Arabidopsis thaliana: one gene and its partner. The protein of the gene in region 2 interacts with the protein of the main gene of each other region in a pairwise test. Each region holds a gene or a part of one and is shown on either strand. Other genes may lie near its edges.

Region 1 (3,716 bases), about 15 Mb from region 2:
AAAAATGATTTATGTATTTGGCTTAAGTTCAATATTGTTTTTTAGGCAAAACTTAATGTTCAATATATATTCATGGAATTAACTCCATAATAAACAGTAACTGAATTCTCTTGTACTTTCTTAAATGGTTTTCAGTAAAAAGGTTTAGTTTAACCAACAAATAACTTTAGCAATCATCTATATAAGCATAAAGCATCACATAGATCTAGTAGTTATGTTTCTATAATACATTTTCACTAAGACTAAAACATGCATGAACACACAAACAGGAAAAAACTATTCTCAAGAAGTTTGTTTCCCACCATGTTAAGTGATTCTAGAAATCTGTAAATGGTTAACCTTTAGTATTCATTCGTGCAATATTTAACAGACAAATGGTATTCATTCGTGCATCTCTCAGTTTGTGAGAAAATACATTGCATGAGTTCGTTATTAACTGGAAATAATACATAAAACTCTGACAATCAGAACCTCTAAATTATTTACTTATAAGAAGAGAGGCAACGTATCTTGCATCGCTTTTACTTATCTAATCTTTTGGTGATGGAAGGGGCAAGAACATAGAAGGAATCTTTATCTTAAAAGAAGAGAAAACAAATAATATCCAAAATTGGTAAATCCATTGAATAAAGCCTAACGTTAACATCAAATCGCATGCGGATTAGAAGCTAAATGCACATAGTTAAGCGTAATCTATGGGGAGAAATTAATTACCACTTTTTGGTTCATTCTTTTAAGTTTTATGATTCAATGAATACATAGCACGTGGAACCTCTCTCCCCCACAACCCATTTTGAAGGGAAATGAATAATTAAAAGAGACATACACATAAGAAAGCACATGGCTTTACCATTCCTCTATCAATTACCAACACATTTGACCCTTATCCACATGGGTCTTCGTCTCCTATTATAAAATCAAAATCTACACACAAAATGTTATAACATTTTCCAACTCACAATATACAAAATGCCACGCATAAATATGTCTTCGCAAGACAAATATGTAACGTTTAATATTCGATATTATCTGAGATTTAACCATAAAACTAATATTTCTTTATTAATCAAATTACATCTACGAGCAAAAATGATAAAATTCAACTTATGCACATTCAATAGTTCGTAACACATAAGAGTACTTGGAAACTCTAAATAATCTTCATTTTGGAATCAGGATTCAATAAAATAGTACTTTATTTGACATAAGTGTCCTTTTAACCATTTTTTACACCATACGTTTTTTCTTCTGAATCGAAATTTTTACATCATACTTTCAAAACATCTATTAATCTTTTAAGTTAAAAATTAATAAATCAATAGAAGTAAACTAAAAATAATAATCAACTTTCACATCAAATTTTAAGACAACACATTATATTTAAATATATATTAAGAATATCTATTATGCAACAAATGGATTAACAATCATTAGCACTTGATATTTTCTTTATAACCTGCACTATACACTTTCAAAAAGAGAAGAAGAAACCTTTAAGAAACAGTAAATAAATGTTATTATAATACACCTCTTTAGTCTTTACTTTATTTATATTTTCTCTGTTTGCTTTTATTCCGGGTCGGCCGATAGAATTCTCATCATTTCATTCATTTTTATATTCTTTCGTTATAATTATTATACATCCTTTGAAAGAAAAAGAAGAGGCAATAGAGATGGACGGCTAAGATGTTAACGTAAACAAAGTTGGCGGAGGGAAAAGAGGAGCGTGGAATAATTAAACAAAAGAGTCGTGTCCACATGGGCGGCCTCAAGCTTCGTGTCCCACTTTTGTCCCCTTGCCTCTTTCTTGCCTTTCATGCTTCCGACAACACTTCTCTCTCTTCCTTTAACCCTAACTTCGATGCTCCTTTATATATATCTCTCTCCCCTTTTCTCCAAAACTCATCAACCAGCTCACCAAGAACAAGAACAAGAAGAAGAAGAACAAGACAAGAAGAACAAAGTACCCAAGAAAACACACAAGAAGGAAACACAAAGATTGATATTGATCCAAAAGCAATGGCGTACGAGAAAGTCAACGAGCTTAACCTTAAGGACACAGAGCTATGTCTTGGATTACCCGGAAGAACAGAGAAGATCAAAGAAGAACAAGAGGTTTCTTGCGTTAAAAGTAACAACAAGCGTCTATTTGAGGAAACTCGTGATGAAGAAGAATCTACACCTCCTACCAAGTAAGTAGAAGAGATCTGAGTTTCAAATTGGCTTCTTTCAAATTATTGGCTCTTGAATAGTTTTACTAATCTTTCTTTCCTCAAATTTACAGAACTCAAATCGTTGGTTGGCCACCAGTGAGATCTTCCCGTAAGAACAACAACAGTGTGAGCTACGTGAAAGTGAGTATGGACGGAGCTCCTTACCTTCGCAAGATCGATCTCAAGACATACAAAAACTACCCCGAGCTTCTCAAAGCGTTAGAGAATATGTTCAAAGTCATGATTGGTGAATATTGTGAGAGAGAAGGATACAAAGGATCTGGATTTGTACCAACATACGAAGATAAAGATGGTGACTGGATGTTGGTTGGTGATGTTCCATGGGACATGTTCTCTTCTTCTTGTAAGAGACTCAGAATCATGAAGGGATCCGACGCTCCTGCTCTAGACTCTTCCTTATGATCCAGAGAAGCTGAGAATCTTTTGTCTAAAAAGGAGATGATGACTATGATCGATGAATGAAAAACCCTTTTTGGTTTGATTCGGATCGGAGTTTGACTAAAGTTGACCGTGAAAGACGAAACTTCGGGGTTTTGTCCGACGAGAGATCCATCTCTAGTGATGTTCTTTTTGTTTTTGTATTTAGATTTGAAGTTTGATGTAAAGATACATGAGATTTTATGTATAATACGGACACATACACAATCTATAGATGTATAATGTATTAAGTAGTTATGTCCTATAAGATCATCAGTTTTCTGTTCTTGATCACGAACATAATATTTTAAATTTCAGAAACTTATACACATTTGTTTAGCCAAGGTTATTTATTAACTTTTTTTTTTGTTTAAAGTTTAACCAAGGTTATTATTTACTTATTCAGCAAAACATTTACCACCACATGAGACAAATTTTCTATAATGCCTTCCCAAAACACATCCACAATTCTATAGATAGGCCTTGTCGATCAAAAGATTTCAAAAACAATTTTTCTTTTTGATGAATTGTAAATGACTCTGTCTCTTCAGCTTATTAGATGTTTTAGCTAAACTGCAAGAATTATTATGTAATAATTTTGTTATATTAAAAACAGAAATTAATATCTAACCTAAACAATTCAACCAATTGTAAAAAAATATTACATAATAATATAAGTCTGATAACATATGAAATTGAAAAACACAATTTAATATAATAAAACTGAGAAAATAATATTAGTTTTTCTAGGGTAAAGGTTATTAATATTACATAAAAACATAATAATATTAATAAAACACAATTTAAGATTATAGATTTTTAGACTACAAAAGGGCTCATGGGAAGTTCTCGAACCGGAACTGAACCAAAATACCGAACGCCAATGACTAGTTTTCAAGTATGTTTTTTTCATTATGTGAACCAAGTAATAAAAAATCATTTCTCTTCTAATAGGGTTCTTATGTGCATATGATCAAGGTTTTGGGATTATTTGGAAATCAAATATATAAAGAGTTGTTTTCTATAAATAAATAAAACTTCAGGAGTTTACAGCTTTTTATTTCC
Region 2 (3,639 bases):
ACCAACAAAAGCAAAGGTAGTAGTCATCTCACTGATTTGGGCTATTCTGGTGTTGGAAAGTGCAACAGTGTCAAGTGCAGTAGAAGATTTGGTGGTGGAACAGTGCAAGCACAACTGTAAACATGATATCCACAACAAGAAGAAAGAGTGTGAAGATAAGTGCAATGAACTGTTGATGATGGAGATAGAGAAAGAGACAAGTGGACGACAAGAAGAAGAACACAATCCCTTCTGTGAGGCATTTTGCAACCCCTTTGAAGGACTCTTTCAACATTGCATGGCCGTTTGCCCTCGCACCAAGTCCAAACCAGAGATGATGGTCATAGGAGGAGAAGGTGTTGCTAATGAGGGTTTGCAGACAAAATGCAACAGAAAATGCCTGTCTTACACCGAACCGGAGGCCTATAAAAAATGCATATCCGGATGCTTCATGTCCAACGAGGAAGTCTGTGAGACATCGTGCAGTATTCTTCAAGAGGAACCGCTCACTATAAGGTGCATGAGGATTTGCCATGAGAGAATTCCCGGAGTTGTAGCCTCTACTTAATGTTTTACGAGGGGACTTGTAAGGAATAAGTGTGTTTCTTTGGTGTAAGAATCCAAATTAAAAGAATATTTAACATTTGAGTTCCGGTTAAAGAAGAGACAAAAGATCATATTTTTTTGCTTAGAGATGTTAATATCATAACAGTTTTAGAGAACATCAAATCTATAAAGACTCAAAACGCATTGCTTTAGGGAGCAGAAAGAAGGTAGAAGAGAACATATTAGTTATGGCTCTGCTTGACACTGCTCTTCTCTGAAGTAGTGGTAGTAGTGCTTGGAAAAGGAGAGCCAAGCTTCGGATCAGGGGGAACAGTATCTTCCATGACCTTGGGGACAGTGAAATTGAAGTCTCCAAGTGGTGCGTTCCTGAATTCCGGATTGGCTTCAACGAAGGCAGCGATTTCATTGCGACTCCTGAGCTTCTTCCCGGTAGGAGTAAAGTAGTAGGTATCCATCTTAGAGTAATCTTTTCTGAGAACTAAGCTTCTCTTGAAACCTTTAGGCGTTTTGGGGAGACCAGGCTTGTCAATGACCCAAGTCCGAGAAGAATCGTAGTCAATATCAGCAGGCTCTTCACAAGACATGCCCTGTTTCTTCTGACAGTTAAAAGGATCCTCGAGCATTTTACTTCTGATATCTTCATATTCCTCCTGGCTATCAATCACCCTCCACTTGTGACAGTTATCGCACTGTGCAGCATAGGTATCAATCAACCTCCCAGGAGCAACATCTTTCTGCCATTAAGTCTCAGTGAAACAACCCCACACAAGACTTGTGAGCGTAGAAGAAATATATAATGTAAGGCAAGAATAAGGAGCGACACTACTCCAGCAAGCGTTAAAGAAAAGAACCAAGGCTTTCTTAGAGCAATAACTGAAAGCAACGACACATCACGAGACTGACTCAAAGTTTGCAAGACCAAAGATTTCAAAGTTAACTACCAACAATTTACTTCCAAGCACCAAAAAATCGTGAACCCCAAAACTGATAACCTAGAATTCTATGCCTTGTATAACTTCCTCCATCAATAGTAACTACTAATACGGGATCTGAGATCTCCAAAGACAGTAAGAACACGAAAAACGCATGCACTTTGACCGGAATTATAAGAAGGTTCGCATCTAACACAATAAAGAGAAGAAAAACGCAAAGAACGGAACCTAGAAAATGGAAAGCGAAATATATGTAAGTCATTGTGGGACTACCTTGGCTTTTGGTTTCGCTGGTTTTCCGATCTCCTCCTCTTCCTTCATCTCACTTACTTCCCCAGATTCTTTTTTAGTAAACTTTTTCTCCAAATCTTTGTGTCCCCCAAAAGTAAAACTCTCTCAAATAAGTCTTCCTGCGAACAGTGTGATAACCGCACAGCCTGTGCTTTAATGTATCACTGTGACGGACAAATCATAAATTAACACGTCGGCTTGAGCGAATTATTTGGGCTTCAGGCCCAGGTTTGTTTTGCAACAAAATATTATTATGGGCCTAATATTCATAAGTAAAGCCCATAATTCCCTTTTCTTATCTTGTTTCTAACGGATCATCGGACTACAATGTCGTTTTTTCCCCCCGGAAAATTAGCTGAAAATATCAAAATTCTAAGAGGAAGATCAGTGATTCTGTTTATCTTCATTATCATCTTCTACTACGTCGTTTTGTTGACTGATTCTCACTGTTCCGATTCTTAGTCCTTCTCTCCCACGAACACTAACGATCTCCGGTGAATCTACTGCCACGCTGGCAATCTCTAACCGTCCTTCGCTTCTCACTCTCCTGTGATGAAATCTCGGCCGTCCGTTACAATCCAGTGTCGTCAAAAATGGTGGCAGATCTCGCTTCCTCGTCACGCTTCTTCCTCTCCGCGGCGACGGCGCCTTTGATCTCGACTCCGTCAGCAGCGGCGGTCCATACGGTCCCCACGGCGATATCTTCCCTCCTAGATAGAAACTGTAACTGTTATTTTTCGAAGAACACGAGAAATATTCGTCAAGAATAACTCCACACACACCTCTATGTTCCCTGCACTCGTCGTCGGGATTCTCGTGGTCTGATTTTATCTCTAGAGATCTGCTCACGGATAAGCTTTGAAGAGGTTCGCCGCCGGAATCAACAGGAGTGCTCCAGCGCCGTCGATGGGAATGCGTAGGCGTGTCTTCCTCTGCCATTGACGACGTGCGGTGTTCTTCATCTATATCTCCGGTGAGAATCGTAGAGGATGACGTCATGATTAACATAACCGCTCGTCCTTCCCTGTTCTCTACTCTCTACGATCGCAACTCTGCATCATTTTTTGGGCCTTAAACGAGATTTAATGATTTATAGTATTTGGTGGGGCCTCTGCGAGAGGTTTTGCCAGCGTGGCAAACAGATCAGGATTTACTCATTTAACGGGCTTTTGTAAACCATGACACCTTGTAAGTAAATTGGTCCGCATGGTCAAATTAAACCTTGTCTTGGAAAAATCTTTTCACCTGTAAAATATTAATCTCACCGTCCTTTTTCTGGTGGCAGTAATTGTGAACAAAATCTTAAATCATATTAACTTTAATTTTTGGGAAATACGCATGCAGCACATCGAATGATTTTTAAAAATATTACATGAATTTTTCTACGAAAATTTTGAAACTAGTTTCTAAACATTACTACAGTATTAACTAATGGCTGCAATTGAGAGGGTGAAAACATTGAATTGGGTCATTCCCCATCAGTTTTAAAAAACTATAAAGTTAATTGGGTCGTAATTGCATAAAACGTTATTTCTTTCCCGGAAATAATACTCAGTTCATTAATTTGATGGGCTTATAGAACGATATTCTAAAGCCCATTATACGGGCCACAAGAATCTTTTGAGACACTCGACAAATGGCAATCGCTAAAAGCAAACCCAAAATGTTTTAACGATATGTGATAACTCCTGAGCCATGCATGCTAATTTTGCTATGTCATTTTGTAAGAAAACACGTTACTACAAGTTGTCTTTGTTTAGACCGTTAAACGGCATGCAGTCTATTATTCTGGACTAACTCCATGTGAATGAAAACATACATATGATGACGAGTTGATGATGAATGCGAAAGTGATAAGAGAGCGATGATG

What was found. The genes of interacting proteins can lie anywhere in the genome.
Region 1: the proteins of MBD4 (region 2) and IAA2 interact in binary tests that used the Arabidopsis thaliana proteins (3 or more experiments, as listed by UniProt).

Annotation. Positions count from the first base shown.
Region 1 is NC_003074.8:8,179,989-8,183,704, reverse strand, and holds IAA2 (indole-3-acetic acid inducible 2), read left to right. Parts: upstream 1-1,609; 5' UTR 1,610-1,758; coding exon 1,759-2,192; intron 2,193-2,284; coding exon 2,285-2,636; 3' UTR 2,637-3,059; downstream 3,060-3,716. UniProt on the Arabidopsis thaliana protein: Aux/IAA proteins are short-lived transcriptional factors that function as repressors of early auxin response genes at low auxin concentrations.
Region 2 is NC_003074.8:23,293,554-23,297,192, reverse strand, and holds MBD4 (methyl-CPG-binding domain 4), read right to left. Parts: upstream 1,909-3,639; 5' UTR 1,800-1,908; coding exon 1,752-1,799; intron 1,281-1,751; coding exon 768-1,280; 3' UTR 567-767; downstream 1-566. Other genes in the region: AT3G63040 (uncharacterized protein), read left to right, coding at 1-547; AT3G63020 (hypothetical protein (DUF3049)), read right to left, coding at 2,154-2,768. UniProt on the Arabidopsis thaliana protein: Transcriptional regulator that binds CpG, CpNpN and CpNpG (N is A, T, or C) islands in promoters regardless the DNA methylation status. Plays probably a role in gene silencing.